Linked DNA regions of Rhinolophus ferrumequinum. The protein of the gene in region 1 interacts with the protein of each later gene in a pairwise test. Links are inferred from orthologs where the notes say so. Each region holds a gene or a part of one and is shown in the gene's direction. Other genes may lie near its edges. The genes, in order: RABAC1, RAB33A, ZFYVE21 and NUDT18.

Region 1 (6,990 bases):
GAGAGGAGAGGAAGGGACTCAGACTCGTGATGCTCGCATATTGGAGGAGGAGAAGGAGCATGGGGGGGTGATGACAGTGCCGACCGTGATGATGGTGACAGTGGCGACTGAACCGTCCGTTCTGTGCCCTGCCCTCTTCTAAGCCCTCTGTGTGTATCAGCTCATGTAATCCTCACGGTTGGGAGGCACAGAGAGGGAAAGTGACTTGCTCAAATTCACACAGCTGAGAGGCGACAAATCTGGGATTTGTACCTGGCTGTCCAAGTTCTAAGTCACTGTGCAATTTTCTCTTTTTATTGAGATAAACTTTCATACCAGGAAGTGCACAAATCTCAAAGGCGTACCGTGTAACCACCACCCAGATCAATATAGAGCATTTCCATCCACCCAGAAGGTTCCCTTATGCCTCTTTCTAGTCAGCGCCACCCCCCCCAAAAGCCACAGCTGATCTGATGTGTGTCACCATCCTTTAGCTGTGCCTGTTCTTGGACTTTGTATAAATGAAAACTTACAGCATGTTGTCTCGTGTCTGACTTCTCGTTCTCAACATCGCGTTTGTGACAAACACCCATGTATGTAGCTGTCACATGTATGTAGCCCACTCATTTTCATTGCTGTGTGTGGCTATAACATAATTTCTTCATCCATTCTCCCGTTGATAGACATTTCACTTGTTTGCACTTTGGGGGCTATTACAATTGGTGCTGCTCGGAATAGGAACATTCTAGTAATGACAGATGTATGCATCTCTGTTGGATACATGCCTAGGAGTGGGGTTGCTGGTTTTGGGATGGACTATGTTTAACAGAAATAGCTAGACCCTTTCCAAAGATGCTGTATCCTTCTGCATTCCCACACTGCATGAAAGAAAGTTCCAGTTGCTCCACTTCCTTATCAACATTCAATATTGTCAGACTTTTGAATTTTAGCCATTCTGGTTGGGTAGCTACACCACTTCCCTTGAGGCAGCCTTGTTAATACAGCCCAGAGGTGAGAGTCAGGAGGGGCTGGGGCTGGCATCCCGAGAGCTCACAAGTGTGGGTGAGTGTGTACACACGTCCACTGCACAAGACAATGGCTGGAGGAGGAGTGCCTGAACCTGAGGGGGCAGTTAGTCAAAGGGCAGGGGCATGTGTGCCAGGCACTACTCATGATGCCCAGGACACAGCCTGCCTGGTCCTGGTAGGGGTTATGTGAGCCTGGACCTCTTCAAGGGAGGCCTCAGAAACTATTCATAGGGTACAGGGTAAGAAATGCTCCCATAGACAAGTGGGCAATCAGTGGCCCAGAGAAGGCAGGGACTTCCTTGAGGTCACACAGCAAGGATATAACCCAGGTTTCTGGTTGTCTATGCTAGGGTCTTCTTCTCCTCCCAGCTCTTCTTCCTCTGGTGATCCAAGAGATAGGAAGGAGGCCTCAGGCTGGAGGGACTACAGGGCCGGGGCCCATCTCTCATAGTTTTCTCCGGTACCCCCTTACCTCCCATCTTCCCCCTGGTTCAGGCCCACCTGTCACAGGTCCCCTCTCTCACGGACCCCATCTCCCACCAGCCTCTTGTCTGAGGGATCCTCCCATATCTCACAATATCTCTACCTTAGGGCCCCTTCTTCCACAATCCCTGTTTCAAGGGCTTCTCTCCCACATTGTCTGTGGGACAAGGCCCCAACTCTCCAAATCCCCTGATTTAAAGTTCCCTCCATACTCCACTCAGGGGGCCCCTCCCACAATGTCCTTGCCTCTGGACCCCACCATCCATGGCCCATGCTGTTCGACACCTCCAGACCTTTGCCCATTATGTCCTCTGCTCAGAGCAAGTACTGGTGGGGTATGGAGTACAACCATTTTCACTGAGTTCCTATAAGGAAATCCAATAGCTCTCATAACAAAAATCAAACCCAACTTTCCCAAGGTTGGCCATGGGAGGAAGCAGCTGGACCTGTGCCTTCAACTCTCTGCTCCCCAAGATTCATCTTCTTCTTGGGGGCTCTTTCACTGGTGACCTCTGAACTCAGGTGCTGCTCCCCCATTAATGCTCTGAGCTAAGTGTGCACTCGCCATCCGCCATTTATTTCCTGAAGCCAAGCTGGACCCAAGTGGGAAACCTGAACAAGACTATTAAAAGTCTGTGTCTGACAAACGGGAAATAAACAGTAATGAGCCAACTGATCTTCAAAGTGTAGTTCATTCAGCTTCAGCTTGGGACTTCCCAAGGGTCCTCCCTGCTTATTGCTCCACCAGCCCTTTTAGCAGGGGCCACCTACCCCACCTCCTGGGAATGTCGCAGGCCTCAAAGCCCAAATCTAAAAGGGATGTGAACCTTGGAAGACAAAAACTGGGGTTAAGGGTTGCCTGGATATCCCATGTGGGACTTCTTCTTCAGCCCAACCCAGCCTTGGAAAATTAGGCCCTCGGTCCATGAAAGGGAGCACAGGCTTCCCAACACTGCCACACACATTCTTGAGGATTTTCTGTGCACCCCTTTAGAATGCCAGTCATTTTCCTGCAACTCGGTGGCAAGGGCAGGGGCAAAGACGGAAAAACCAGTGCTGTGGGAACTAGGGAAAAGAAAGGCCCCGGCCTGAGATGCCAGCCACTCTGGGGCATTCCCTGATACAGGCCAACAGCCCCTAATACATTACTGTTAAACTCGAGAAGGCTGAACTCTGAAATAGTCGTAACATTCATGATAATATAGTAGCAATAACACCCACTCCCATTTATCGAGCAGTTGCAAAGTATCGAGACTCTTTCAAGCACTTTACTGGGACCATGTAACTGAATCGTCCTAACACCTCGAGTGTGGTACCATCAGGATCCTCACTGTCTAGATGAAGACACTGAGGTTCAGGGAGGTGACAAGGTCAACACAGCCTGGATTTTCATTAAAAAATTCTCTTTTAAATGTCCTCAACCCTTTTCCTTTCCCAACTTCCCTTCTTCCCATCCAAGGGGAAGGGGAAGGGTGTCTCTAGGTTTCTAGTCCTAAACCATTTATCCCTGAGAGCCCAAGGATTGAGCAGGGAGCTTTGCAGCAACCATGGCCCTCTCGCTAGCCTGTCTCTTGAGGAAGGAATAGATTCCCACGAATTCTCTAGAGTCTCACTATTCAAAATATGGTCCATACACCAGCAGCAGCAGCATCACCTAGGTACTTATTAAAAATGCCTATCTAGGGGCCGGCCCGGTGGCTCAGGCAGTTAGAGCTCCATGCTCCTAACTCCGAAGGCTGCCGGTTGTATTCCCACATGGGCCAGTGGGCTCTCAACCACAAGGTTGCTGGTTCAACTCCTGGAGTCCCGCAAGGGATGGTGGGCTCCACCCCCTGCAACTAGGATTGAACACAGCACCTTTAGCTGAGCTGCCGCTGAGCTCCCGGATGGCTCAGTTGTTTGGAGCGCGTCCTCTCAACCACAAGGTTGCAGGTTCAACTTCTACAGGGGATGGTGGGCTGCGCCCCCTGCAACTAGCAATGGCAACTGGACCTGGAGCTGAGCTGCGTCCTCCACAAGTAAGACTGAAAGGACAACAACTTGACTTGGATAAAGTCCTGGAAGTACACACTGTTCCCCAATAAAGTCCTATTCCCCTTCTCCAATTAAAAAAAATGCCTATCCATAAATGGGCCCCACCCCATATCTGCTAAATCAGAATTTTTATCTAGTGTTTTATCAAGCTCTCCAGGTGTTTCTTATGCCCTCTAGAGCCCGAAGGACAGCTCTACACGGTCCCCATTGTACACTGCACAAGAGAGAATACCTAACACTTGCTTTCGCCTTTAGAGCTCCTATAAAGCCCACTCGTGACAACCCACCTTCCGCGACGCCACACGCCCGGCTACTGAAACTACAACTCCCACAATACCCAGAGGCGCTCATTGTCGCTTTATGTGACTACATTTCCCGAATGTGTTTTGCTAGCCAGACCACCATCATGGCGCCCACCCTTCCCGACAGCATCAGGACTACAACTCCCACAGTGCTCCGCGACAGAACTCCCGCCCCCCACGGCTTCCGAAAGGCGCCACGTCCGCTGAGCTGGTTGCGGCCCAGCTCTTGCGGGTCCCGAGGGGTCTGAGGGGCTCAGGGCTCGTTACAGCTGTTCTACCCCTCACGACGCAGACATGGCGGCGGAGAAGGACCAACAGAAGGATGCCGAGGCGGAAGGGCTGAGCGCCACGTAAGCAAGCCTACTCTAGCTCCCAGGACTGAGACCCGGCAGTTCTGGTCCTCTGCCCCCTTCTCCCTCGGGTCCCAGGAATCTGGATCCCCAGAGACTAGAGTCTAGGCCCCTGGCTTCCTCTTCGAGGACTCTGGAGCCTGGGCCCTCGGCCCCCTCTTCCCCTGGGATCCAGGAGCCTCAGACCCTTACCCCTCCCTCCCCCGTCCCCCCCATCCTGCACACCCGCAGAACCCCGGGGTTTGGGTTCCTGCATCCCCGCTCTTGCTGGAGGCCCCGCCTCGGTCTTGATCTACCGCTGACCTGGCCCCGCCCACCAGGACCCTGCTGCCGAAACTGATCCCATCCGGCGCGGGCCGTGAGTGGCTGGAGCGGCACCGCGCGACCATCCGGCCCTGGGGCACCTTCGTGGACCAGCGGCGCTTCTCGAGGCCCCGCAACCTGGGCGAGCTGTGTCAGCGCCTTGTACGCAACGTGGAGTACTACCAGAGCAACTATGTGTTCGTGTTCCTGGGCCTCATCCTGTACTGCGTGTGAGTGCCGCCTCTCCGCCCGCCCCCGCCCCAACCAAGTGGCACTGGTCGGCCCCGCCCTCAGCGGCCAGCCCCTTCTCTCCCTGGCCAGGCACCGTCCCCATGGGATAGCTCTGCCAGACTCCCCGAAGGGCCAGGTCTCCCCCATCAGCTTGAGCAGGACCCAGTGTGACCAAATGTCACCTGAACTTGCCTGGTCTCAAGGACATACATAGCCTGTCATCCGCCGGTGTAGAAGTTCAGGGTCTGTCCCCCTGGCAGTGCCAGCCGCAGCTGCCTGACGAATGCTTCCCTGCCCTCTTCCAGGATGACGTCCCCCATGCTGCTGGTGGCTCTGGCCGTCTTCTTTGGTGCCTGTTACATCCTCTATCTGCGCACGTTGCAGTCGAAGTTTGTGCTCTTTGGTGAGAAATCCCCTGCCCAGATGCATCCGTGATCCTTCAAATTCTGGTCTCTTGGAACAAAAGCCTTACATCCCACACCTAAGTCTTCCTAAACCCCCAAACTTGGTCCCTTAAAATCTCACATGCGCCAGATAATGCCACCCAGCCTCAGCCACCCAAATTGCTATTCCCCAAACCTAGAATGAGAGCCCCCGGGGCTCATTCTCCTCCTGGATGCTGTCCCTTAAATCTACTCCTCCCCTCTCTCCCTGACTTGTACAGAAAGCGTCAGCTGCAGGTATCCATAGTAGACAGCAGGTGGCGATCTTACACTGGCCCAGATCTGTCCCACGCCTCTGTCCTGCTTCCTGGGTGGGACCAGAAAGATCTTGGGACTTCTCACAGAGGGAAGCTGAGGCCTGTGGCCCATATGGTCCCAGACTGGCACCAAACATTCCCCACCTAGAGCAAGCTCAATGTTTGGAGTGAGGACAGGGAGGAATTGGGATCAGATAAGCAGGTAGTCCTGATACAGTCCTTCAACGGCCTGCAAGTTACGTACATGACAGAGATAGGCTGGTGGACAGGCCTGGTGGGCAAGCACAGGGCATGGAGGGAGCTCCTCAAGCACAGTCACTACCTGGCTTCAGCCGCTGCAGCCCCCTCGGGCCTGCAGACCCAATTTTACTCTGCCACAAGAAACCAGAAATCTATTGTTAGGTGAAATCATTCAGTTTCTCTGTTAGCCACTAATCACATTCTTGGGGAATATTGTACAGACTTAAAAAAAAACTTCCACAGGTCAGACTTGGCCTTGGGCCACCAGTCTGAGACTCCTGGCGGACCGTGGGGACATTGGAGAAATGGGTGGGGCCAGGACTTGGAGGACCTTGGCATGAGTTTGGATGATCCTAAAGCTCCCAAAAGCTTGTGACATCAGACTGTTGGGGGCATCCGGGATTACTCTGGGAGAGGACACACGTGTCAACAACTGCCCCACGCTGTCTGCCCCCAGGCCGAGAGGTGAGCCCTGCCCATCAGTATGCGCTTGCTGGGTCCGTCTCCTTTCCCTTCTTCTGGCTGGCTGGTGCAGGTTCTGCTGTCTTCTGGGTCCTGGGTGAGTACAGGGGCTGGGTAGCGGGGGTGGGTGGTGGGGGCCAGGTGAGGGAGCAAGGCCCTGAACTGTCCATTTTCTTGCAGGAGCCACCCTCGTGGTCATTGGCTCCCATGCCGCCTTCCACCAGATCGAGGCCGTGGACGGGGAAGAGCTGCAGATGGAGCCGGTGTGAGGTGTCCAGCCTCCCGAGCCAGCTGCCCCATCCCTGTTCACCCCTGTCCCGCACGGCTCTGCTGCTCCAACCAACAGCCCTCTTCCCATCACAAGTCCAGGGAGGGAACCAGCTTTGGAAATAAAGCTGTTGTAGTTGTCATTCAGCACATAAGCTCCCAGGATCTGTGGGTCTGTGCGGGGTAATGCTGGGGTACTGGAACAGAGGGGGACACACGGTGAGGGGAAGACAGTAACTAAATAACTAAAATAGGATGGCAATGGTGGTGAGTGCCAAGGAGGAGAAAAGAGTTGTGGAAGGAAACTGTGCCAGGGGTCCCCAGGGCCAGCCCCCTGTTTGATGATTTGCTAAGAGGACTCAGTATACAGTTGGACTCATAGCTGTGTTTTATTATGAAAGGATACAAAGCAGAATCAGCAAGAGAAAAAGGTACATCGGAAATCAAGAGGAAGTCAGGCATGAGCATTCCAGAGTCCTCTCCCAGCAGTCACATAGGACGTGCTTACGTCCTCCAGCAGTGAGTTGTGACAACGTGTGAAATGTCTGCCAGGGAAGCTCATTAGAGATTCAGTGCCCAGGCTTTTTATTGGGGGTTAGCCGCAAAAGTAC
Region 2 (7,771 bases), on another chromosome or scaffold:
TTTGAAAAGCTGTCCAAGGAGGGACCCGTGGGGCTGATTTGCCTGGCTGTTTGTGGCGAGTGCTGCCGCTGTGTCGATGTTGGGAACTGATATTAATAGCACCTCAAAAAGCGTGGCCTCAGCACCAAATTTTGTTTTTCTGTTTTAGGCCACTAGCTACTACTAAGTACTAAGCCTTCCGGATTCTCTCTCTAGCTGTAGTCCACTTCCAGTCTTTCCATAGATTTGAGCCGGGGCTCCTGGCTTTCCAGATTCGGATTGGACTTCCGTCTTTTACAAATTGCCTTCCCATCCAACCCCTATTCTGGGCACTTTACCACTATTCTGGGGCATGTCTTCATTCCGCGCTCTCTTTTCCCATACCGCTTTTATATTGTGTAATTCTGAGTCCTAAGTGCTGTATCAGATGCTGTGGATAGTCTCTTGCTATTTTATTATGACTTCGTTTTTTGAGAGCAGGTGCTGGCAAAAAGCGTTCGTGCTTCACAGACTTTCTGCGAGAGAAAGCCTAAGCAGGACTTTCAGAGTTGTGGGAGGAGTAGGGTGCGGGGCTGAGTGTAAATAGGGGTTTTGGCTATCAAATATAAGCTAAATTGGAAATAAATTTTGGCTGTATGCAAAACATAACATATGCCTTTTTCAAAGTTTTGGTTTACATACTCACTTAACAAGTATTTATTGAGCACTTGCCATTTGGACTATATGAAAAGAGCTCTAGGGGATACGAAAAATATAGGAAGTGGTCACTGTCCAGGTGGGGAGATGACATACACTGGTCATTTTAAATAATAATATCTGATGTAGTGCAAGAGCAAGAAAAAAGAATATGAGATGAAATAGCTAAGGAAGGACTTCAAGCAAGAAGTATTACTTGAGCCTGTCTTGAAGGATGAGTAGTGAAATTCAAATAATGGAGGAGGAGAAATGATATTTCAGATGGTGAATACATTGGGACCGAAGGTAATATTTTTAGTGATTAAACACCATTGATTTTGGATCCAGTCTGCCCCAGGTTGAATCCTGGCTCTGCCACTTGGACAAGTCACTTAACGGTGTCTCACTTTCCTCATCTACCAATCTCACAGGGTTGATAAGAAAATTAAATGAGCTAATATTCATAAATAAAGCATCTTAGAGGAAGCACCATGCTGTTTAAATCAAAAGGCTTGGAAGTATAAAAGAAACAAAACCCAGCTCATTTTCAGGAGACAATGGCAGAGAGTACATACTAGGAAGTAAATGAGGACAGGTTAATATGGTGGAGCCAGATTTGAACTAGCCAAAGTGTTTGGCCGCAATCGTGTAGGTGATGACATTATTTTTGGCTTTCAGTAGAATAGGGATAGAGAACGAAATTACTAAGGCATTTCAGGAAGTTTAACCCAGAAAGCAGTCTTTACTCGGTGAAAATGATCCAGGGATCCCTTGCTCATTAAGAGTAATGTTCAGAAGTGCAGGCAGTGGGCAACTTTTCCCCTAGGGCTGCATTGGGGAATAAATATTGAAAATGTCAATTCCACAATAAGGTAAAAAAAATATTTATATTTAGTATTTTAAAAGTTTCACAGATGTTGATATTTCTTGCTATTTCTAAAAGCCAATAATAAACATGGATTGATTAAATAAAAAGTTAATCATATCTGTTGGTGGATGAGGCTTTGGAAAACACTGTCAAAATTATGATGATAAGGTACCTATGAAAACAACTGGGTAAATTTGAAAGACAGTCAATTGTGCATTTAATGATGCACAATTAACAAAGAAAAGGCATTGTACAGCACTTTTAACTTATTTTTGCAATAGGTGCAATGAGGTAGATTTCTTGTCCTTTTAATTAAAAATTATATTTCATCTTTTTTTGTAAAAGCAATATACACACATCAAAAACTAACTCCAAAAATATAAGTGGAAGTTCCCCAAAATCTCATCCCACAGAGGTAACAAACACTTTTTATTAGGAAATGGGGCCCACTTTGAGATATCAAGTCTCCAGAAATTAGTGTTTCTATCTTACAAATATAATGTGAACTCTCAGACTCAGTGATGAGTTTTTTGCTGGAAGCATATGCGGTCTGACAATTAAGTTCGCGAACTCATCCTAGAAAAAGTGCTACATACCTCATTGCTGAATATCACTATGGTCACCTTCGAAGTACTCCCCGTGGGAAGCTATGCACCCGACACCAGCGTCTAGTCCACCCTTCAAAGCAATTTTGGAACTCATTTTCTAGAATGGCCATCAGAGCTGTCCTCGTATTACCCTTGATGTCCTGAATGTCATCAAAATGTCTTCCTTTCCATATTTCCTTTATCTTTGGGTAAAAAAAGTAGTCATTGGGGGCCAGATCAGGTAAGTAGAGAGGGTGTTCCAATACAGTGATTTGTTTACTAGCTAAAAACTCCCTCATAGACAGTGTGCTGTGAGCTGGTGCATTGTGGTGATGTAAGAGCCTTGAGTTGTTGGCGAAAAGTTCAGGTTGTCTAACTTTTTCACGCAGCCTTTTCAGCACTTCCCGATAGTAAACTTGGTTAACTGTCCAGCTGGTACAAATTCATAATGTATTCATAAATAAAATAAAAAAATGTTAGCAACATCGTTGCAATAAGTTCACAAACTTAATTGTAAACCTAGTACATCTAAATAATCTTATGTGAATATAGTTTTTTTATATTAGAAAGTTAGCATTAAGTCTGGCTATAAATTGGCAAAGCTTCTTTCCGCTCTACCTGTTGGATATGCCTAATTCATAGTTACCTGCCCCCCTTTTAATAGCTGCTCTTCTGTAGATAATGATTACCAGGAGCATTAGCTTCAAATACAGACGACAATGATGCTGCAAACTATTATCTAGACATCAACCAATCATAAAAAACAAAAATACTGTACAATGGTGATTGCCATTCCCACTGTATAATGATAATTGGTATTCATAATGATGACCTTGGATTATCCAACTAAGATTAAATCCTTCTTGAGATGGTTTTAATATTGAATAGCATGATCTAGGGTTTTAGAAATGGGTAACCCACATATATGCTAAAAGAGTTAGCTATAAATATATCTGCTAACTCAACTAAAAAGCTTACCCTGTTTCCCCGAAAATAAGACTTAGTCAGACAATCAGCTCTAATGCGTCCTTTGGAGCAAAAATTAAAATAGGTCTTATGTTAATTTTTGCTCCAAAAGACACATTAGAGCTGATTGTCCGAGTAGGTCTTATTTTCGGGGAAACACTGTATAACTAGAAGACCCCATTTCCCCAGCCATTCTGAGTAACTTGGACTGGGCTGAGCAGTCATATTCCACTTTGTTTACAGACCTATCACTGATGCACTGAATTGTTTTTCTCACAGTGGGAATGGATTTAGTTATGTTTGTCTCTTCTGCAGCTGAGCCCCACACAAGTAAGATGGCAGCTCATGTGTCTTGCTGGAGTCCCTGACCTTGATGACATTAGCAAATAACTCATGTCAGTGCTACTGGCATATGTTAATATTACCTTAGCCTATGAAATATGTGGAAGGATGGTTCAAGTCTTAAAGCAAACACGAAAGTGGTGCACTTTATTGTGTGGAAATTGTACCTCAGTCAAGTTATTTTAAAGAAATTGTGAACCTGCAAATCACATTTGGGAAAGGGAATACTGGTCTTGACCAAGATGTGTGATGCTTAATAAGCTTGGGGAAGCTGCTCCCCACTACCAGAAGAAAGTTCTGTTCATTTATCATTTTCCAAGCATAATTTAGGCTTTTAACAAATTAGACCCAACCACTTTGTTCTACATTCAGTTGCAGAGGGGTGAACCCTCCTAGGGGTTTCCAATTCCTTTTGAAACTCCACCATTCTGGAAGGACTTATGATTACATGGAGGGCTCTGGAATGCAAGACGCTGTGAGATTTATGCCTTGTCCCAAGAGCCCTCCACCTGGGCTTGGAATGGTTAGCCCCAGAAACAAAGTCCCCTTTTGCTGGAGCTGCCACCACTAGCTTCCCCGCTTCTCCTACCCCCTGTATGGCTCCCTCCGGTGGCCGGCCTTCCCCATTGGCCAGTCAAACACAACTGACTGCCGCAGCCAATGGGAGCCGCTCTTCTGAACATTCAGAAGATGGGTGTTCCTGGTGTGATGAGGGAAGGTTGGCGCCTGGCACGCACCCCCCCACACACACATCTGGCAAGTCTGTGAGAGAAACAGTAACTCCCCCTACACATGCACACCGGTGCCCTGCAGCGTGTATTGGCGGCGCCCTCCCTGGCTCCTCGCGCGCGCGAGTGCACCTGCTTCCTCAATAAAACAGAGCATCCCTTTATCCCAAGGCTTGGGAGGAAGCTGCAGAGGCTCAGCTCAGCTGCCTGCAGCTCTGGAGGTGTCTCCTCCCCGCACCCAGTCCCCGCCGAGTAAAGTGGTGTTGCTCCGAGGCTGAAATGCTCCAGAGCGGACCCCCGTGCGCTCCGAGAAAATGGGGGTGGGGAGCCTGAGATCTATAAAATAAATGGGGTCATGGAGAAAGGAGGACCATCCCGGGGTGGTGTGTGCCGCTCTCCCCACCCTCCTTTCCTCTGTAAGCTTCCTCTTTGTGGTGTGTCCCTGGGGTCCAGACAGGGGAGGGTCTAGGCCAAGGCGCCACGGCAGCTGCAGCGGTGGAGGCGGGGTCGCACGCCCCACCCGCCCCTCCGAGGGCAAGGCTGAAGGAGAGGGCTCGTGCCTTGCAGTCTCTCTTCCATCTCTCCTCCCCTGACTGGCTTTTGTGTTGGTGCCTCCGAGCTGCGAGGAGGGTGCACTGGAGGAGGAGGAGGAGGAGGAAGAGGAGGAGGGGGACCTGGGGTGAAAGGCACCCCACGCGCGCGCGCGCGCACGGGGACGGCGCACGCACACACGCGCGGACACACTCACGGACACGCACACACACGCACAAAGCTCGCTCGCCTGGAGCGCACTAACGTGGCCGTTTTCTTTGTGTGGAGCCCACCAGGAGGGTTGGGGCCCCGGTCCGGTCCCTGGGAGATGGCGCAGCCCATCCTGGGCCATGGGAGCCTGCAGCCCACCTCGGCAGCTAGCCTGGCATCCCTGGAGCTTGACTCGTCGCTGGACCAGTACGTGCAGATTCGCATCTTCAAAATCATCGTTATTGGTGACTCCAACGTGGGCAAGACCTGCCTGACCTTCCGCTTCTGTGGGGGGACCTTCCCGGACAAGACTGAGGCCACCATCGGTGTGGACTTCAGGGAGAAGACCGTAGAAATCGAGGGCGAGAAGATCAAGGTGATCCAGACGGTCAGGTCCGGGAAGGGAGGGCTCTGGGAGGGGTCCTCGCCTGACGCATGCTCTAGTGGTTGTGAACGGTCTGGTCAGGTTCGTGGCTGCGTCGCTGCTTGCTGAGCCCTAGACCCTCAGCACCTCCTCATCCTCTTTCGCCTTTCTCAGCGGCCTGGTTCCCACCTTGCCCGTTTTTTTTTAGGGCAGGCCGGAGAGGGTGCATTCATGCCCTCTGTCCCTGCCTGACAGCTCCTGCCAGGAAAAGCATGTGAGATCCCATCCTTGACCCTGAGCCAGGAGCAGCGGCACCTGTGGGCAGAGGGAGGTATGAGGTAACCTGGTCCTGCTCTGTGGGGTGGATCCCAAAGCACTTTACACATCTTGAGGTCTCTTCTTCCTCTTGGGTGCCAATAGGGTGCAAAAACCCACTTTGGTTAAGCCCTGAGACATTACAGGGGAGGAAAGAATGGAAATCCACAGAGAATTACAGTTTATGGCTAAGATTATGGCTGAGCTGGAATAGGGGTGGAGTGGGGTGGTTCTGGCACAAAGTCATGAGCCCTTTTAAAGAAATTGAGACAGGGTCACCTGCCAGCCCTCCATAATAGACAAAACTTATTCTTTTGGAACAGTCCCCCTCAAATGATATCTTCTTTATTTGTCTGGGGTACCTAATGCCATTATTCATTCTATTGGTATTGTCTTCAGCAGGCCTTTGTAAAAATGCAGAGCAACTTCTCTGAGGGCCAAGGGAAGTAAGTGTCTTGCTCCTACCCTCTCGTTAGTTTGTGAGATCAGCTAAGTACAGATATTCTTGTCTGACCATTTGTACTCACTTTCAGTTCATCAACAGTGCAAACTCGATAGGACCAGGATATTTCAATGTGCAGAGGCTAGCGGGAGGGGGGACATGACAAGGGCAGCTTAATGTGTCAGGGGAACAGAGAGAGGCAGGGTTATGGGCAGGAAAGTCACTTCAAAAGACAGGGCACTAAAGACCAACTCCACTAGACCCACAACAGGCCTTTTCTTGAGCCTATGGTCAGACCCTGTCCTGCAAAGGTAAACCTCCCTCCTGCTGGTCAAACAGCTCAAATGACCACAGGCGTGAGGTGGAGAGAAGGGCTGAGTAACTGGGGAGAATGTGGAACATTGTAAACTGTACAGACTCCTTGATTATTAAAATGAACATGTTTTAAAATGGCTTCAGAAACCTGGCCAAGGCACTAGATATGTCAGGAAGATGGGCATTGCAGTACTGGTAAGGGAAAGTTCTCGAGAACAACGAAACCCCAGGGTCAGGAATATAGGACACTGTTTTGAAATAGTGATATTTCTTGCCTCTTACATTTTGGGGGGAATTCCTACATTTTCTTTTTAAAGTCAAAGTAAGTATCTGTCTTTTCTCCTTTCCCAGGGTTTTATGTTGACATTTCCTTGGTTAGAACTTTCTCTAGGGTGTCTAGCTTCTTTACGTAAAGTTGTAAGATTCTGGAATTTCTAAAGCATCCAAAGTAGAAATATACTTACGGCTGTGCTCTTAAGCACTCAAGACCCTTAAAATTTAATGCTATTGCCTGTTTAAAATCAAGTTTCACATTGAGCCAAACAGCTCTCTGGATTTAAGAGGGGAAATGAGTCCACCTGAAATGTACAGGGAGGAAAAAGGAAGTGTTTGGGAGTCTGGGGGAGAAGGAAGCTAGAAACTGGACAATGGGAGGTGAAAAACGAGTGGAAGAGGGTCATCACCCAGTGACCTCAGGGGAATTTTTAAAAGGTTCCTTCCCTTCCAACAGCCCAGTACCTAGCCAAACTGGATTTTGTAGTCTCTGCCAAAGATTCTGGACTTTTTCCCAGGGGGCAGTGCCTGTGACAGTGTGACTCACTAGAAACGGAGCTCAGCAGGACACCACGTGCAGAGAAGTGCTCAATACAGGTTTTTCAGAGGAAGGTGATATTTTCAACTTGGTGATATGAAGGAGCCCTCTGAGAGCAGATTCTGAAGGAGCTCAGGGTGGGATGTGGGTGTGGGGAGATGGGGACCCTGCCGCTTGTAAAGCTGCTGCAACTTCAGGGCCAAAGCCAGCAGGCAGGCCCAGCATGTCTGTGGGAAGATGGCAGAACATAGCAGCAAGCGCATGATCTAAGAAGATTTGGTCCCATACTCTGATGGCCTGGTGTTTCTCAAGGAACAAGTACCAAAACCATGCTAGGAGGTGACTGCCAAAGGCTTCTCCCTTTGGGGAAGAGAGAAAAGTCCAGTCTGACAGGCTGAGGTGGCCCTAGACCACAGCCAGCAATGAAAGGCTGTCAGGCTATAAAATGCCAGTCCTCGCAGGAAAATGGAGAGGGCTCAGTGAGCTCTTCTCTCAGTTCAAGAGTAGGGTGTGGCGTCTCCTGGGCTGCCTCCCTGTGCCCCAGAGTAGCACTATGTCAACCCCTACAGGGGGATGACTGATTTAGCATATTTGGGGCTACTCTCTTAATTACCAGTGCCATCCCTAGGGGTTTGAAA
Region 3 (7,780 bases), on another chromosome or scaffold:
GGCAGCCTTGAAAACCCCCTGTAACGCCAGGCCCAGCGGGTCTCATGGCACACACACCAGCTGGCAGGGAGCCCCGCACCACTGCCCTCGGACCTCACCTGCCCAACAGTTACAAGTGAAGAGCTGTCGCCCTGCACACGTGGCTCTGGGCCAAACGGCTTGCAAGCTGCTGCTGTGTGAACGCATGTCAGCCCCACAGTGCCTGGGACCACCTGCAGGTCCGTGTGGGGCAGGGGCTGGCCAGCAGGGCGCGGCTCCTAGAGGTCCCCTCACTCGCGAAGGAACCGCTAAGCGGAGTGAAGGCGAAGGCGGGGATGCGAACTGCAGGAACCCAACCCTGATGGAACACGGCCAAGAACACAGCTGACCCCTGCCCGCCGCCAACCTAGCAGCTACTCACCGGCCTCCAGGCCTCCGTGCTGCCGTGGGAACTGCACCGCCAGGCAGAGCTGCAGCGCCAGCTGGGTCTTCCCGGCCGAGCTGCGTCCCGCCAGCTCGGTGATGCCGTCGAGGGGCAGGCCGCCGCGGAGGAGCCCGTCCAGCACCGGGCAGCCCAGGCTCAGGCGCTGGTGCTGCGCGGGGAACCTCTCCTCCAGCCGGTGCAGGTCGAGGGCTGGGGAGGGCGGGGCGTCAGGCAGGTGGGCGGGGCCGGAGGGAGAGGCGGGACCGTGGCCCCTGCCAGCTACAGGGAGCCTGGGCTCCGCCTGATTGCCAACTCCCCCTGCTTCCTGTGCCCCTCGGCCTCGCCCTTCCCAGAACCCACCCACAGAGCGAGGGCCCTCAGCACGGCCCCATCCCCGTGCGGCCACCACGTCCCGCGGCTCCTCCTCGGTGCTGGCTGTGCACACGGCCCTCGGCTCCTGGCAGGGACGAGGGCTCCAGCTACGCCCAGCGCGCTGGCAGAGCAGACCTGTCCTTGCCCACCTGTGAACACACTGCGGCCCCGCAAGTGTGAGGAGGCTGTGCTCAGCAAGTACTGCACATCAGGGCTGGAGAGGCCGGTCAGTCTCTGCAAGTCCGGTCCAGAAAAATGCAAAACCTCCTTTATGGATTTCAGTTTGGCTGAAATTATACAAATAAATTACAGCACAAGGTCAGACTACAGTAAGGCCAGGCAACACAACAGTGACAAGAGGTGCGTTGTCTTCCAATTCTGGGGACCCGGTGGGCAGGGCTGGATCCACTGCTTCTTGAACCCCTGGGTAGAGTGTGATGATGACCGCAGGACAAGGAGGGAAAGGGCCTGGGGAAGGCCCACCCCTGAGCTGCAGCAGTGGGACCAGGTGGGCAGACAGCCTCTCCTAGGTGGCTACCCAGTCCCACGCCAGGAGACATCTGTCAGGAAGCCTGCACACCATGCACTAGAGGCTGAGCCGGGGTGGGGGTGAGTGGGGAACCACACACGAGGGAGGGGGTGCAGCAAGGAAAGCCACAACGATACCCATTGCACCAGCCGGTGGCGGGCACGGCGGGGTGGCCAGCAGGGCTAACAGAGAAAAGAACGTGTGAGTGTGACAGCGTCATGGGCACCGGCTGGGCCGGGGGCCGGGGGGAGGCGGAATATCACACTTAATACATCCAGAGGACCTGGTAATTTGGGAGGAGAGTCGATAAATTAATTTTGGGTTTGGGTAAAGAACATTACTTTCAAACTAGTAGAAAGAATAAAATGTCTGCTAAAACTATATCCAGCCAGGCCAGAAGGCAAAAAAGAGAAAACAACACACAAATAAAACAATACAAATAGCTTAACATAAATGGAGAGTTAAACCCACATTTATCAGGAATTACCTTAAGTACATATGCCCTGAATGTTCCAGTTAAAACACAAATGTGGTCAGACTGGATGAAAGGAAAATCAAAACTTCTGATACACTCTTTGAAAAAAGCAACAGCTAAGTAAGGGTGGACGAGCAGGGCTGAGACCCTGCCCCACGCAGGACATTGCCACACGCTGCAGCACCAACCCCCAGGTGGATCAACCAGCATCCTAATACGGAAGCATCCCTGACAACATGCCCTGGAGACAGAAGATGAAGGCCCCAGGACGTCAGCCGCACAGGGAGCTGGGGATGGACATGCCAGGAAGCAGAGTGGGTGAGCTGTCCCATCCTTTGAGCATTTAGAAAAGAGCCACTGTTTGACAAACTGACGGGAGGAGTTGGGAAAAATCAGTGAGAAGGACCCAGAGAACGCAGCATGTGAAAAAGGAGGCAACTACTAACTGGGGTGGGGGTGGGGGTGGGCGCGGGAAACAAAGGTGGTACAAGGAAAAAAACAGTCATAACCCCTTCTGGTTCCGAGATGGCCATTAGGTCCCCACTCACAACCCTGACATCTGGGATGACCCAAACTGTGTTCCAACTGTGGGGGTAGAGGTGGAGGAAGTAGGGGTACTTGTGGGGTACAAGCAGCCAGCCCTCACCCCGTATAGGAATCTGAGTAACTGGTGATACCCACACACTAAACACAGCAACGTAAGCACATTCTCTAGAAACCCAGATATAATTACAAAAAATTGCTAAAGGACTCACAAGTGGCGAGCAGTTACGGTTCACTTTTAGATGATATGCACATGTTAATTGGATGAAAATAAAATTAACTTTAAAATAGTCCTTTCAGTTAAACACACACACAACTAAACAGCCCGCACACGGTCCAGCATCAGTGAACCAATCAAGACCGACTGTCTCGGGGAAGAGTGAGCAAAGTGGGGACCGAGACAGGGACAGGCGACCTCGGTGACTTGTTTTACTTAAAGTGTATACACGTATGTACACCCACACAGGTACACACCTATTGCATATATGTAAGTACCAAGAAATATACCTTTCTTAATTGCAGCAATAATTCTGGGATTCAGATCCAGTTGATCCAAATCCATTTCTTCAGCGTGCTGACCACAAAGATGAGTAACTTCCCAGGGACAGAAATTCTGATGCACTTGCTGTCACCTCAGCGAGTGTAGCAGTGACAGCGGCCTGGTTCACCGGCAGCCTAGAGGTTGGAGGACAGATGTTACGTACCAGGAGTGCCACTGAGTTAAGTGTGAGACAGCACTCCTGTTGAGCGGTCCTTTGGTAACTCAGAAATCGTGGACTCAATCCACACACTGATGCACTCGAAGGCCCCCCCACCCCACCTACTGCATTCTGGTTGCCAGAGCACATGGCTGTCCCGTTTCGTGCCCTGCAGAGAGTGCCAGAAGTGAACATGAGCTCCAGCCCGAGTCCTGGCCCTGCCCTGACCCACCTGTCCTGGGCGAGGACGCTGTGTAAGTTGGAGATCCACGTGCACTGGGCTTACTCAGATGAAGTGTCCCTTGCATTCGCCACTTTAATTTCCCTTAAAAGTGTCTCCATGGGAATCTGGAAAGAGTGGAAAAAGTGAGTTTGGAATCTTGAAGGATGCTGAGGGGGTCGGAACCTCGGTGACCACCAAGCTGCCTCAATGAAGAACAACGCAGCCTGTGTCCAGCCAGGCCTTGCCCTCAGCCAGCCACGTGGGTGGCCTCCTCCAGGGGCCTGCTGGCTGCCGCAAACTCAACCCAGGGTCTCCCAGGAGCTTTCCTGCAAGCCACTCCGTAATCCCCTCACGGCCTCCCAAAACGGCAGGACACGCGAGGACCAAGACCAGCAGCCACTTGGGCCAAACCCAGGGTGACTGTCCACCCCAAGTCCCAGTGCTCTGCTGACTCGTGAAGTCCCAATATCTTGGCTGATGGGACGTACACAACTGAGGACTGTTCCTTGCGATGTTGAGAATACTATATGGACCTGGACAATATTAGGCTATTTTGAAGCTTCAAGAACCAGGTCTCCTGCACCCTCACACTCGCAGGGTCTGGTCTGGCACTGGCGAGGGTCGTGATGCCAAGAGCCTACAGTGCCGATTGGTCCAGACAGCTTGGGAGGCAGCTGCTGGGCAGGAGAGACTGGTCACTCACTACCCTGGATCCCGCCCTGTCTCCACCTCTAAAACACCACAACTTCACAGGGTCCTGGTTCACCTCTCACCCCACCGCCCCTAAACTACTGCCATAGACCAAACTGGCCCTGAAGCTGGGTGGCCTCTAAACCCTGCGGGGTGACAGCCCCGAGGATCAACCTTCTCACCCCGCTCACGAGTCCAGGCTGCACTGGCCCCAGGTTCCTTCCCACTGACAGGACCCCGCTAGGACCTACGCCCCAGCTGTCCCTCTGCCCGCCGTCCCGCGGGTGATGATCGCGGTTCAGGGCCTCGGGGGCCCGGGGCTTCAGTGACCCGCGGCCCCGCCGTCCCCCTCGGGCCCCCGCAGGGGTCCCCACTTGCCCTCGCCTGGCTTCCACTGTGCCCAAGGCCACTCCGGTGTTCAACCCTCCCCCACCTCCCACCCTCCGCTCCCCACGTTCCCTTGCTCCTACCCCGGCCCCTCCGAACTGCCACCTCTCCCACCTCGCGCGTTTCACTATTCACGCCGTCCCGCCCCTCAAACCTCCTCTTCCAATGAGTGCTAGGCGCCCCGAGCCAGATACGCCAATCAGAGAGGAAGTAGCGGCTACGTCACAGACTAACTGGCCAATCCAAAGTCTCAATCGCCCCTAGAGGGGCGGAGCGTGCCCGGGCCCGCCCTCACTGACGATTGGCGATTGCCCTCCGGTTGGCAGAGGTGGTGCCCTTGCACAGATTGGAGAGCGCAGCAACGGGGCGGAGCCCTGGCGCCGATTGGCTCGCATTCCTGGCTGGGCTTGGCGATTGGGTGCGGGCGCCGTCAGCCGCACGAGCGGGGCGGGGCTTCTGGCGGGGCGAGGGCCCGTGTGAGGGCGGCGGGCGATCGCTGAGGCGGCGTAATGTCCTCCGAGGTGGCCGCACGCAGCGATGCCAAGAAGCTGGTGCGCTCGCCCAGCGGCCTGCGCATGGTGCCCGAGCACCGGGCCTTCGGCAGCCCATTCGGCCTGGAGGAGCCGCAGTGGGTTCCGGACAAGGAGGTAAGTCGCGGCCGCCCGCCAGACCTGCGTCCGCGCCCCAGGACCCCGTCGGCGCCCAGCGCCCCTCCGGTCCGCGCCCCGGGACCTCGCCCCCAGCCCTGGCTCGGAATCTTCGTCCGCTCCCCACGACCCCTGTCCGCGCCCCGGGCTCGCCCTGTCTCTCGGACGCCCCTCCCCAGCCCGACCCACCCTCTGCTCTTTGCTGGCCTCCTCTGGCCCCAGCTGCCCTCCCCGGGGCCCCTCACGGCCTCCCTCGCGCACCTCTGCTCCGCGCCACTGGGCTCCTGCTGCCCGCGCTCGGCCCCGCCCGGGGCCTTGGGCACTCTGCCTTCTGCCTGGTTCCCTCTCTAGGGGCTCCGGTGTCCCCCACCTCCCCGCCTCTAAGTTTCTGTGCCGCTCGCACGGACCTCCCTTCCTGATGTGCCCCAGGCTTTGCCCACCGGGAGGTCACTTGTGAATTGCACGACCTCGGGGGCAGCGGAGCCTCGTATTCATTTATCGTACAGACCTCTCTGCTGGGGTTCTCCGGGTGAGTGGACGTGGTGGCGGGTGGCGAGTGATGTTGGCGCAGAGTCGGGTTGGAGTCGGAGTCTCCAGGTGGCGAGCAGAAGCGCGTCCGGCGCGGGGAGCTGCACCTGCTTGCAACGGCAGGAGCAGCTGAGGCTGCGAGAAGTTGGGGTAGGGAGGCCTCGAGCTGCCCTGTTGGCGGGGTGGGCGCGGCACCTTCTGAAGGCCCTTTTGTGTCCTGCCAGGGACTTGGGACTCCATCCCATAAGTCAGTAATTGTCAGCGCGAAGCCAGGCAGAGGAGTTCATGCATTCCTGTAAATCGGAGATGTCTAAAAGACATCCAAGTGCCGTGATTTTTTGAAATTAAATGAATTGGGGTAACATTGGTTAATAACATGATATAAATTTCATGTGTACAACTTTACAGTATGAATATCTGTGTACCCTGCTGTGTACTCACCGCGGGAAGTCTGGTCTCCTTCCCTCACCATGTATTTGGCCCCCTTTACCCTCGTCGTCCTCCCCCACCCCCCTTTCCCTCTGCTAAACACCATTCTGTTGTCTGTGTCTATGAGCTTGTGTGTTTGTTTTGTTTGTTCCTTGTTTCATATCCCACATTAGTGTGACCCCATCAAAGTGCTGTGATTTTTTTTTTGAAGTTCTTTAACTTACAACCCCGTTAGTATTGGATGGACTGCTTTTCCTCTCCGGAGAATCACTGTTACAGGTGGCAGGTTTTCAGCGGAGGATTGAAATCAGGTGTTTTAATGCAGTGGGCGGAGAAGTGCCTGCAGCTGGAGGCAGGGCAACCCGGAGGAGGACACAGCCGCCCAGCCCTGCCCCTTGGTCGCTTTCTGATGCCAGCCCTGGCCCTCCGCCTGTAGATGGCAGCTGCCTCTGAGTTGAGAGAGGCCAGCACACAGGGAGGGTCGGAGTCGCCCTGGACACGAGGCAGTCGTTGGGGTGTGGGTGGTCACTGAGCAGGGCTGGCCACGGCCTCCCTGGGTTTCTTCTCCCCGTTGACGCATTTTTCTACATTTCTGCCCTTGGCACTTGTACTCTTTGAACACACAGGATGTAACTTACCTCACATCCCCTCCCTAGTTAGTGCTATTAAAAGATAATCAAAGGGAAAAAAGGCAAGAGCGTGACTCTTGTCCTCATAAATGAATATGTCACCAAGTTCCCTTAACTGTTGCAGTGAGGGAGCCGGGCAGATGTTATCGGGTCAAGGAGAAGTCGAGAGAGCTCAAAATGACATGGGAGGAGGCCGGTGAATGACTGCGAAGATAGAGGCCAATTGGTCTCTTCCATCATGGGAAAGGGGGCCCCAGGACCTTGGGGGGGGGAACGGGACAGGCTGCATATCTGTAGGTATCTGCAGTTGACCCGGAAGTCACCTGGAGGGCGTCACCCACAGGCCAGGCCAGTGAGTCACAGCATTTTTCCATCATTACCCACTCCCCCAGGAGCCTCTTTAGACATTTTTTCTCCATTTGATCCCCCCATGAAATTTTCAGCCAGGTGTGCTGCGCAGCTGCGTGGGCCTGCACGTGTGTGTGGGAGCACACATGGTCGCTCAGCCCTTTGGGTGTTTCCTAAAAGAATTTTCATGTTTCCCTGCATAGTTGCCTTTCTTGGTGGGCCTTGGGTGTGGAAGTCAGCGCTGAGGTGTGTCCCAAGCCCAGGCTGTCTTGAGAACTCTTGTGAGATTCTGATAAAGTTGGGTTGAAATGCTTGAATCTGTGGCACACCCTCCTTCACGGAAGTCTCATTCCAGTGTTGGCAGGGTGTCCCTCGAGAACCCCCGCCCCGCCTGTTAGAACTATGAATAACGGGGGTCTGAACAGCCAAGGAAAGCCCTAGGAGCCCAGTGAGCTTGGAGGAGGGGGACCTAGTGAGGGTGGACGACTTCTCTGGGTTTGAGGAAGTATATTTTAAAACATATTGGGGCATGGTCCTAGAGTCCAGAAATAACCAGAGTGTTCTGGAGGAAAAGAAACTTGGAATGGAGCAGTTTGGGCTGGAGATCAGAATCAAGTCTGGCCTTCATTGGCCAGCTCACGGGGAGGGTGTGGCACACGTACTGGGGGACTCGCCGAGCGACACTATTAGCTGCCCTCTGCCGTCCAGTGTTCCCAGGACGCTAGGATCAGTGTGTGTGGGGAGGTGACTCCCGCATGGACAGACCCACAGGGAGAAACAGGTTTATTTGTGGTGCTTGGGAACAGGCGGGGCGAATTGGGTAGGACATGGCATTCTGAGCTTCCGCCCACTGTCCCCCCACTTCTTTGCTGTGCAGAT
Region 4 (7,903 bases), on another chromosome or scaffold:
CAGGCTTGGCTGGAGGGGATGATAGTGGTGAGGGCCTGTCCTGCTCCCTTCTCTCACCTCCCTCCTTCTTATGTTCCATTAAAGTCTGTTGTTTTGTGAAAGCTGCCAGTGTGGTTGGCCCTGCTCCTGCAGGCCACATGGGGGGCGGGGGGGACATGGAAATGCAACAGGGTGGGCAGGAGCTGAGGCCCTCGTGACAGGAGCCTCAAATACCCTTGCCTGCTCTTCCCTGGACCTGGCCCTCCCACCCCCCAACTTTCCAAAGAGCAGATGGAACCTTCCAAAGGGCTGCTCCTGAGGATATTCCTGGCAGCAACAAGGCAGAGACTGAGGGTGCAGCAGCAATGTGGCTTGGAGCCCCAACCCTCCCCCAATACTCCAGGCTCCCCCATCTCTCCTGTCTGACCTGACCTGAAGCTCCGGGAGTTGCCCAGGAGAGTCCTCCCCCTGGGCTTGGCCTGCTGCCTGAGACAGTTGGCAGCCCCGTCCCATCCCCAGGGCCCTCTGGTGTGGCTCTGCTGCTCTCCTGCCCTAGTACATCTCAGCCCCGACATGCTCCCGCTCGTCATACCTAATTGTTCTGTGGTGGTTCGGGAAATGGTGTTTTTTTTTATGAAATAAAATTTTTTATTATAAATTTAATATACTTTCAGAACATTCAGAAAATAAGACAAAGTCCCCTCTAAGCCCTCCACCACTCACCCCCCAACCCAACCACGGATAGTATTTTGGTGTATTTCCTTCTAGTATTTTCTCCACGGGTCTGTTTTACACATAGTTGAATTGGTGTGCTTTGTACTTGGTTTCTTTCTTTTAACACTATTGTGATCATTTTCTATGTCGATACCTAACCTTCATTTTAAACAGCTGCTTACATTCCCCAAAGTGGCTGTGCCATGATTTACATAATCGTCCCTCATTTAAAAAAAAAAAAAAGTTGTTTCTTCATTGTTTGCAAAGCTGGGTTTTCATTTTTTCATGGGATAGAAAAAAAATTAAGGAACTGCCACACTTTATGGTGTCAGTTTTCATTTAACTGATCTCATTTCATCCCTTACCACAATTTTTATGTAGATATTATTTATTTCCATTATATAGAAGAGGAAACAGGCTAGGGATAAGGGAGTTACCCAAGGTCACACTGCAATTTAGTGGCAGAATTGGGATTTGAACGAAGTGTCCTGACTCCGGCTGCCTCATTTACATTATAGTCTTAGCACTCAATGGCCTTTGCAGATGGGCTTACTGTCGTCTCTGTCCTCCTTCCAACATAAGCACGTTAGAGCTCATCATGTTCCAAGTAGCAATGAGTGACCCATGTCTACCTACACTTCACCTTACATAGCTGTGTCCTGATGTCACCCCAGGACCCCAAACACGGAGTCTTTCCTGTGGGAAGATGGGGATGGCCCTGTCACTAGGCCTGTTTCTTCCCCCACAGACCTCTCTGTCACCTCCCCTTCCGTGGTAGGTCACGGCACTCTCCAAGGACATAGTGGGTCTGACTCCTTGCAAACACAGGTGGGCCAAATGTCCCAGGACTGGACCAGGGATGAAGCCAGTCCAGGTGGGGACCGGTCCAGAGACTCAGCGTGAAGCATTCAGTGGCCCTCTTCCCCAAGGTGGCTCAGCGGGCTCCCCTCTCAGTCTAGCCCTGCCCTTTTGGCCTCTGCTGCTCCCAGCAACCTCCTCCAGCCCCTCTCACTGGCCCAGTCGGCACAGAGGCACAGCCCTCAAAGCTGGAAATGACCTCAGGTGTGTAGACCAAATGCCAAGTTTTTCTTATAAAGTACACTATTTTAGATTTTTAATTTTGAAACGACTGTAGATTTACAGTTGAGTCACAAAGATAGGACAGTTTCCAGTTACTCTTCATCCAGCTTCCTCTCATGTTGACACGGTACATAATCAAAACTAAGAAATTAATTTCGATACAACACTATTAACTAAGCAATAGACTTTATTGGGATTTGTCACGCAGGGTCTCAGCTCCTGCTCCCCGCACAAGAACGCGGGATATGGTGAGGCCAAAAAGGAACAACGGAGCCATAGATAGGGGCGTCATACCACTATATTCTCGCTGGCAGCTGGGTTGGAGGCACAGGAAGCAGGAGCCACACGATCCGCAACCTGCCGTCTGCTTCTCTGTCAACCAACCAATCAACCAGCTTAGCCACGGCAGTTATATCAGTGGCCAATGGCTAACCGGTAACAGCTGATGGCCATCTGATCACAGCTGATGGCCGTCTACTATCTGAGCCAGCACCTTTCCACATGAGGTCAAGAGCAGGAAACTGCTCTCTGGGACTCAGTCCCCACAGAATTCCACCAGTTTTCCACTAATGTCTGTTCTGTTTCAGGATGCACCTGAGCCTGCATCATACAGATGGCCTAGACGATAGATGTGGCTCCCCCAAGGTCATTCAGCAAGCCAGTGGCAGAATGCAGGCTGAAGCTTCCTCCTCCCTATACCTGGGGCTACTGTCCTCCTTGCCCTTCCCACTTTGACAAGGGACAGGGCTGGCTGCTCTGTGAATGAATCTAGCGTCACAGACACCCTTGCCCCACCCTTCCCGCCCATCCCTGTCCCTGTTTCCGAGGTTGCCTCCATCACCTTCCTGTGCACGTGCTTACAAGCACACTCAGGTCTACATGCCCTGAGTTGGCTGGCTCAGCCTTCGCTCCTGTGGGTCCTGTACTGTGTGACACTCTTGCCCACCACCCCCACCAGTCAGTGCTCTTCCCTCTCTGGGAATAGAGGGCGCAGAGCAAACTGGATGGAGACCTTTCTTTGTTTCTGGTTCTGTCGGTTTCTATCTCAGCACCCCCTCCCTGCCTCCGCTTTTCCCATTCTGTCTCAGGGCCTCTCCTGCCTCAGTCTAATGTGTGCTCTCCTTCTCCCAAAGCCTTGAAAAAGTGTATTTCCTGTTGTCTCCCTCCGCTCTCCGGAAGGGCTGGTACACCCCCTCGAGGGCCTTGCCTATGCCGCCCTTCACAGTTTACAAGCGACTTTCACGTTGCCTCATGTGCTTCTCACCACAAGGTGATTAGGTCCACTTCACAGGAGTGCTTTTCCCAGTGATAATGGGGGGAGTGGAGCCAGGGTTTGTTGCAGTCTTTGCTGTTCCAGGCAGTCAGGCCGTCTGGTGTTTATCTTAGGCTGCCTCTGAGGCTTTCAGAGCCCTGCCCAGACATGACCTCATTCTCTCTCAAATCATCCCCGGGAGGCAAAAAGGAGTCTGAGACCCATACTGTTCCCACTTCACAGATGGGAAAACCGGAGGATAAACACACACACACACACACACACACACACACACCAACTACGTTGACAAGTTGCTCTGCAGTCCTGGAGTCCCGACTCTCGGTCCCGTCATTCAGTTGTTTGGGAGGTGAGATGTTTAGGGCTGGAGGGCAGCAGTATTCACCAAGTGCCTCAAAAGATTGCAGGCCCACTGGGGATCCCCCACAGACTAATATAGGGCCCTACCTCCAGGGAATTCACAGGCACTTCAGTTTGTGAGAAGGGCCTACAGAGGCCATCTGGTGCAGCTGGAATTCCTTAGTAAAAGCTAGTTCCGAGGTGGCCTGGGGGCACATTTCATGAATGTGGGCCTTTGTGTGGTAGTAGGAGAGCCCAGCAAGGGGGTTGGTGGGCTGCCTGGTGATGGTGACCTATGCTGGATTGCCCACGGAGCTCCTCCCATGGCGTCTCACCTTCCCAACAGTGTGAAGGAACAGTTGTTGTGAGCCTATTCTACAGATGAGGAAACTGAGGCCCACACCTTTTCCAGGGACACAGAGCCAGCCAGTAAGCAGAGGCCTGGTATCTGGCTCCAAGTCCAATGCTTCGTCTGATCCAACAAGCCACTGTCCCCTCAGGTGCACTAAGCCAGCAGGAGGAAAAGGGAAGACCTAACTGAGGATGAGGAGCCCCGACTTGGCTGGCTTCACAGTTTCACTCCAGCTGGCCCTGCCGTCCTGTCCTGAGAGGAGGTTAAAGGAACCTCTGAGGAGGAAAGGTCAAGCTGGGAGAGAAGCAGGAGCTAGCCAACACCCACACCCTACTCTCAATGGGGCTGCCTGAGCCAGCTGGGTGGGGGGGCAACAAAGGTGAAGGAGCACGGCTCAGTCTGCACGGAGAGGGCCCTGCAACTATGTGGGAAATGGCGTGGGCAGTGGGTCGGGACACTGGTGAGGGCTCTGCCTGCCTATCCCCGGCCCTCTCTCTGCCCCAGCTCCCCTCCTCCCGTCATCAGGCGCACCTTGGCCATCCCAGTTCTGCTCTCTCCCTGCTCTGAGCACCGTCACACCTCCGGCCCAAACCAATCATTTAGCACTTGTCTTATAACACTGAGTTGACTGTTTTTTTAAACATGTCTATGTCTACGTTCCCAACTAGATCAGAATCTCCTTCAAGGCAAGAGCTCTCTTCCTCCCTTCCCCCCACTACGGTGACATTCAGTACATTTTTAGTGAAAACGGGGGTTATTGGGGGGAAGTGATCGTTTCGGGCAAAGCAGTGGTATGTTTATGACCAAAGCTGGACAGTGGGTCCCGGCCTCGCCCCGGGCCTCCGTGACGTTATCGGTGTTGTTGTGATGCTACCGTCGCTGGCCACTGTGGCTCTCCGCAGCCTGCAGGCAGGATGACGTACCCGTTCGAAACCGGTGCGGACTTGCGCGCGATGGAGAAATCAGCAAGGCTGGCGGCTAGAGGTGCCGGGAGAGGGCGAAGAGGAAGGAACCCTTAGAGAAGCCGAAGCGGGCGGGGCCGCACGACGCGGTGACCAGCGCGAGCCAGCCAATCCGGGCAGGCCGCGGGGACGCGCAGCCTATCAGTGGCTGGGACTTGGCCGGCGCTTCCTCGTTCGCGAGCACGCCCGGCGCGAGTCGGCGGGGGAGGGGACGAGGGCCAGGGTGACGCACCACCGGCTGCACCGCCTTGCACCCCACCCGACTCGGCGGGTCTGCGGGGCACGGCCGCCGCCTCCCAAGGGACTGGATGGCCTCGGAAGACCTGGCGGTGGAGCTGGCAGCGGTGCTGGGGGGCCGGGGACTGTGTGTGCAGAGTTGTGACTCGGAGCCGGCCGAGGAGCCGCCGGCGCCCGTGCGGCTGCGGAGGAACGTCTGCTACGTGGTGCTGGCCGTGTGCCTCAACGAGCAGGTGAGCGTCCGCCCGCCGGCTCTCCGCCCGGGTCCCGGAGCGCGCAGCCAGCCCCGTGGGGACAGACGACCTACCGGCAGCAGCCACCGCTTCTTGGTGGGTGGCGCGTTCCAGTTTTGCAAAGCACTTTCACTTCACACTGACACCTGAGCCTTGTGCGGCCCAGCCCTACGATTGTCCGACGAACAGAGGAGGAAACCGAGGCCAGGAGCCTTTGTCTCATCCCACTAGGCCTCAGTTCCTTGAGGGGGGATTGTTTTATTCCTCTTCCTTTCCCCAGAATTTAGTATAGCGTCCGCCGCCGCGGAGTGGACTCTCATAAAGATCTGTCCAGTGCTGCAGAGACCTCCCCTGAATTCCACGGACAGTAATGGCACAACTTGCGCTTACGCTCAGACCCACTCACCCCTGTGTGATGCTCTTTTTGGTGCTGATCCTTGTACAAATTGCTGTAACAACAGTTAGAAGGGACCGGGACCATAGGTAGGAGTTGTATAGTGTGTGGGGTGGGGGCATGTTTCAACCGCAGACTTCAGTGTGAGGACGGGCCACAAGCAGTTTTTAAACCATGAGGGGAGGTGAGAGAGACAGTGACATATGCAGACAGTGCAGGACACATGGCACCTCCCCTTGTGGGGCCTGATTCCCTGTCCTTGAAGCAACTCCCGGGAATCTTAGCCGCTTTCTGAAATGGAAGTCCAAATGCAAAAGGATGAATTGCAGAGAGGGGCATCTGCAACTGGCAGCCACAGAAGAGCCAGTCCCCAGGAGAGCTCAAGAGGTTGAAGGTGTCCACCAGTAAGGGGGTACCGGGCGACTGTGTTTGAGATTTCTGTCCCCAAGGCACAGGAAGGCTTCCGGCTGTGTTCCTCCTTTGGAACACAGGCTTCCAGCCTGGCTGTGTGGGGGTGAGGATCCTCTCTCTCCCCTCAGGATGAGGTGCTACTGATCCAGGAGGCCAAGAAAGAATGCCACGGGTCATGGTACCTACCCGCGGGGAGGATGGAGCCCAGGGAGACCATCGTGGAGGCTTTACAGCGGGAGATGAAGGAGGAGGCCGGGCTGCACTGTGAGCCTCTGACATTGCTGTCTGTGGAGGAGAGGGGCCCCTCCTGGATCCGCTTCGTGTTCCTCGCTCGCCCAACAGGTACAGCCCACCTGGTGGCACTGTGGGCATGGGGCAATCGACACCTTTCCCCCAGCTTGACCTCCCGTGAGATGAGCCCCTTTTGTGGCTGGTACAAGCCTGGCATCTCCATATTTCAGTCTGAGGGTCAGAGCTAGAATGCCTGGGTGGCTATCAACTCTGCCAGGCCCGGCACTTCTCTCAACACGGACCCTTTCCCCCACCCTGTCCCCCACCGCTCCCCCAGGTGGAGTTCTCAAGACTTCCAAGGAGGCAGATGCGGAGTCCCTGCAGGCTGGCTGGTACCCACGAACCTCCCTGCCCACTCCGCTGCGAGCCCTTGACATTCTGCCCCTGGTGGAGCTGGCCGCCCAGTACTGCCGGCAGGCCAGGCACCCTCTTGTTCTGCCCCAAGAGCTTCCCTGCACTGTGGTCTGCCAGCGGCTTGTGGCCACCTTTACCAGTGTCCAGACAGTGTGGGTGTTGGTGGGCAAAGGGGGGGTACCTCACTTGCCCATCTCGGCCTGTGGCTTTACCCCTGTGGAGCAGAGGGGTGGACTCAAGATGGCCATCCTGCGGCTCTTGCAGGAGTGTCTGACCCTGCACCACTTGACAGTGGAGACCAAGGGGTTGCTTGGACTGCAGCACCTGGGCAAAGACCATACAGATGGCATCTGCCTCAATGTTCTGGTGACAGTGGCTTTTCGGAACCCAGGTATCCAAAATGAGCCCCCGAAGGTTCAGGGTGAGAACTTCTTTTGGTGGAAAGTGATGGAGGAAGACCTACAAAGCCAGCTCTTACAGAGGCTTCAGGAATCATCTGTCGTCCCCCTCAATAGATAGGAAGGTGCCATCAGTGAGCAAGGAGGTGGGTGCCTGTGCTCCCTCCACCGCGGTTTTGCCTCCTTCTGAGGAAGGCAGGTTAGCAATCAGGGATCTTTTCACATTGGGAGCAGGGCAGTTCTCCTGCTCAGGGGGACTTCCATCGCCCCTCGCTGTGGAGCAGGTCCCTCCATTGTACCAAAAGGGACAGTGCCTTTTACCAAGCAAGGAGTCCAGAGCTCAAGAACCCAGTTGCCCAGAGGTATGAGGGCACCGCTCCCTAAGGGGATGCAAGAACTTTCTGAACCTGAGATGGCATCTTATCATTTTCCACGCCTACTCCTCCTTTGGTAAAGGCCTAAATTCAGATTCTCAGGCACTTAGAACATGGGGTGCTGTGGGAGGTCACTCCAAGGAAATGGTCCCCTTGCTGAATAAATAGGTGTTGCTTACTTTACCTTCCCACCTAAATGTCTCTGTGGGGAGGAAGTGAGCAGGAAGGGGGGACTGCCCTCAGAGGAGAAGTTCCTCCCCTTGTACCACTGACAGCCACCCACGCCATCTTAGACAGCAAGCTGACGCTGTAGGGGCCAGTCTGCCGGGTAAGGGGTGACTGAAGCAGGCAGGTTTCCTGCTGTCTGTGTCCTCCACGGCTTGTGTTGGGCCCACTGGGGCCCTCTTCCTCTTGCCTGCCACGGTAGGAAGTGACCGTATCCCCATCAAGGTTTGAGCAGTGAGAACACCAGGGAAGCTCCAGGTGGGCAAGGAGCTGTGAGAGCTTCCGTCGCC

The links.
Region 2: the proteins of RABAC1 (region 1) and RAB33A interact in binary tests that used the Homo sapiens proteins (3 or more experiments, as listed by UniProt). The two-hybrid records come from large-scale screens. The link is inferred for Rhinolophus ferrumequinum from reciprocal best matches to the Homo sapiens genes RABAC1 and RAB33A.
Region 3: the proteins of RABAC1 (region 1) and ZFYVE21 interact in binary tests that used the Homo sapiens proteins (3 or more experiments, as listed by UniProt). The two-hybrid records come from large-scale screens. The link is inferred for Rhinolophus ferrumequinum from reciprocal best matches to the Homo sapiens genes RABAC1 and ZFYVE21.
Region 4: the proteins of RABAC1 (region 1) and NUDT18 interact in binary tests that used the Homo sapiens proteins (3 or more experiments, as listed by UniProt). The two-hybrid records come from large-scale screens. The link is inferred for Rhinolophus ferrumequinum from reciprocal best matches to the Homo sapiens genes RABAC1 and NUDT18.

The regions. Positions count from the first base shown.
Region 1 is NC_046298.1:39,928,442-39,935,431, reverse strand, and holds RABAC1 (prenylated Rab acceptor protein 1), read left to right. Parts: upstream 1-3,984; 5' UTR 3,985-4,120; coding exon 4,121-4,176; intron 4,177-4,496; coding exon 4,497-4,709; intron 4,710-5,015; coding exon 5,016-5,113; intron 5,114-6,107; coding exon 6,108-6,209; intron 6,210-6,292; coding exon 6,293-6,381; 3' UTR 6,382-6,534; downstream 6,535-6,990. UniProt on the Homo sapiens protein: General Rab protein regulator required for vesicle formation from the Golgi complex. May control vesicle docking and fusion by mediating the action of Rab GTPases to the SNARE complexes.
Region 2 is NC_046284.1:25,857,615-25,865,385, reverse strand, and holds the start of RAB33A (ras-related protein Rab-33A), read left to right. Parts: upstream 1-4,762; 5' UTR 4,763-5,004; coding exon 5,005-5,274; intron 5,275-7,771.
Region 3 is NC_046289.1:1,588,816-1,596,595, reverse strand, and holds the start of ZFYVE21 (zinc finger FYVE domain-containing protein 21), read left to right. Parts: upstream 1-4,775; 5' UTR 4,776-4,829; coding exon 4,830-4,967; intron 4,968-5,462; exon of another isoform or gene 5,463-5,645; intron 5,646-7,780. Other genes in the region: DNA repair protein XRCC3, read right to left, coding at 401-613, 925-1,062, 2,830-2,884. UniProt on the Homo sapiens protein: Plays a role in cell adhesion, and thereby in cell motility which requires repeated formation and disassembly of focal adhesions.
Region 4 is NC_046301.1:44,313,030-44,320,932, forward strand, and holds the start of NUDT18 (8-oxo-dGDP phosphatase NUDT18), read left to right. Parts: upstream 1-4,889; 5' UTR 4,890-5,004; coding exon 5,005-5,262; intron 5,263-6,099; coding exon 6,100-6,313; intron 6,314-6,539; coding exon 6,540-7,135; 3' UTR 7,136-7,903. UniProt on the Homo sapiens protein: Mediates the hydrolysis of oxidized nucleoside diphosphate derivatives. Hydrolyzes 8-oxo-7,8-dihydroguanine (8-oxo-Gua)-containing deoxyribo- and ribonucleoside diphosphates to the monophosphates. Hydrolyzes 8-oxo-dGDP and 8-oxo-GDP with the same efficiencies.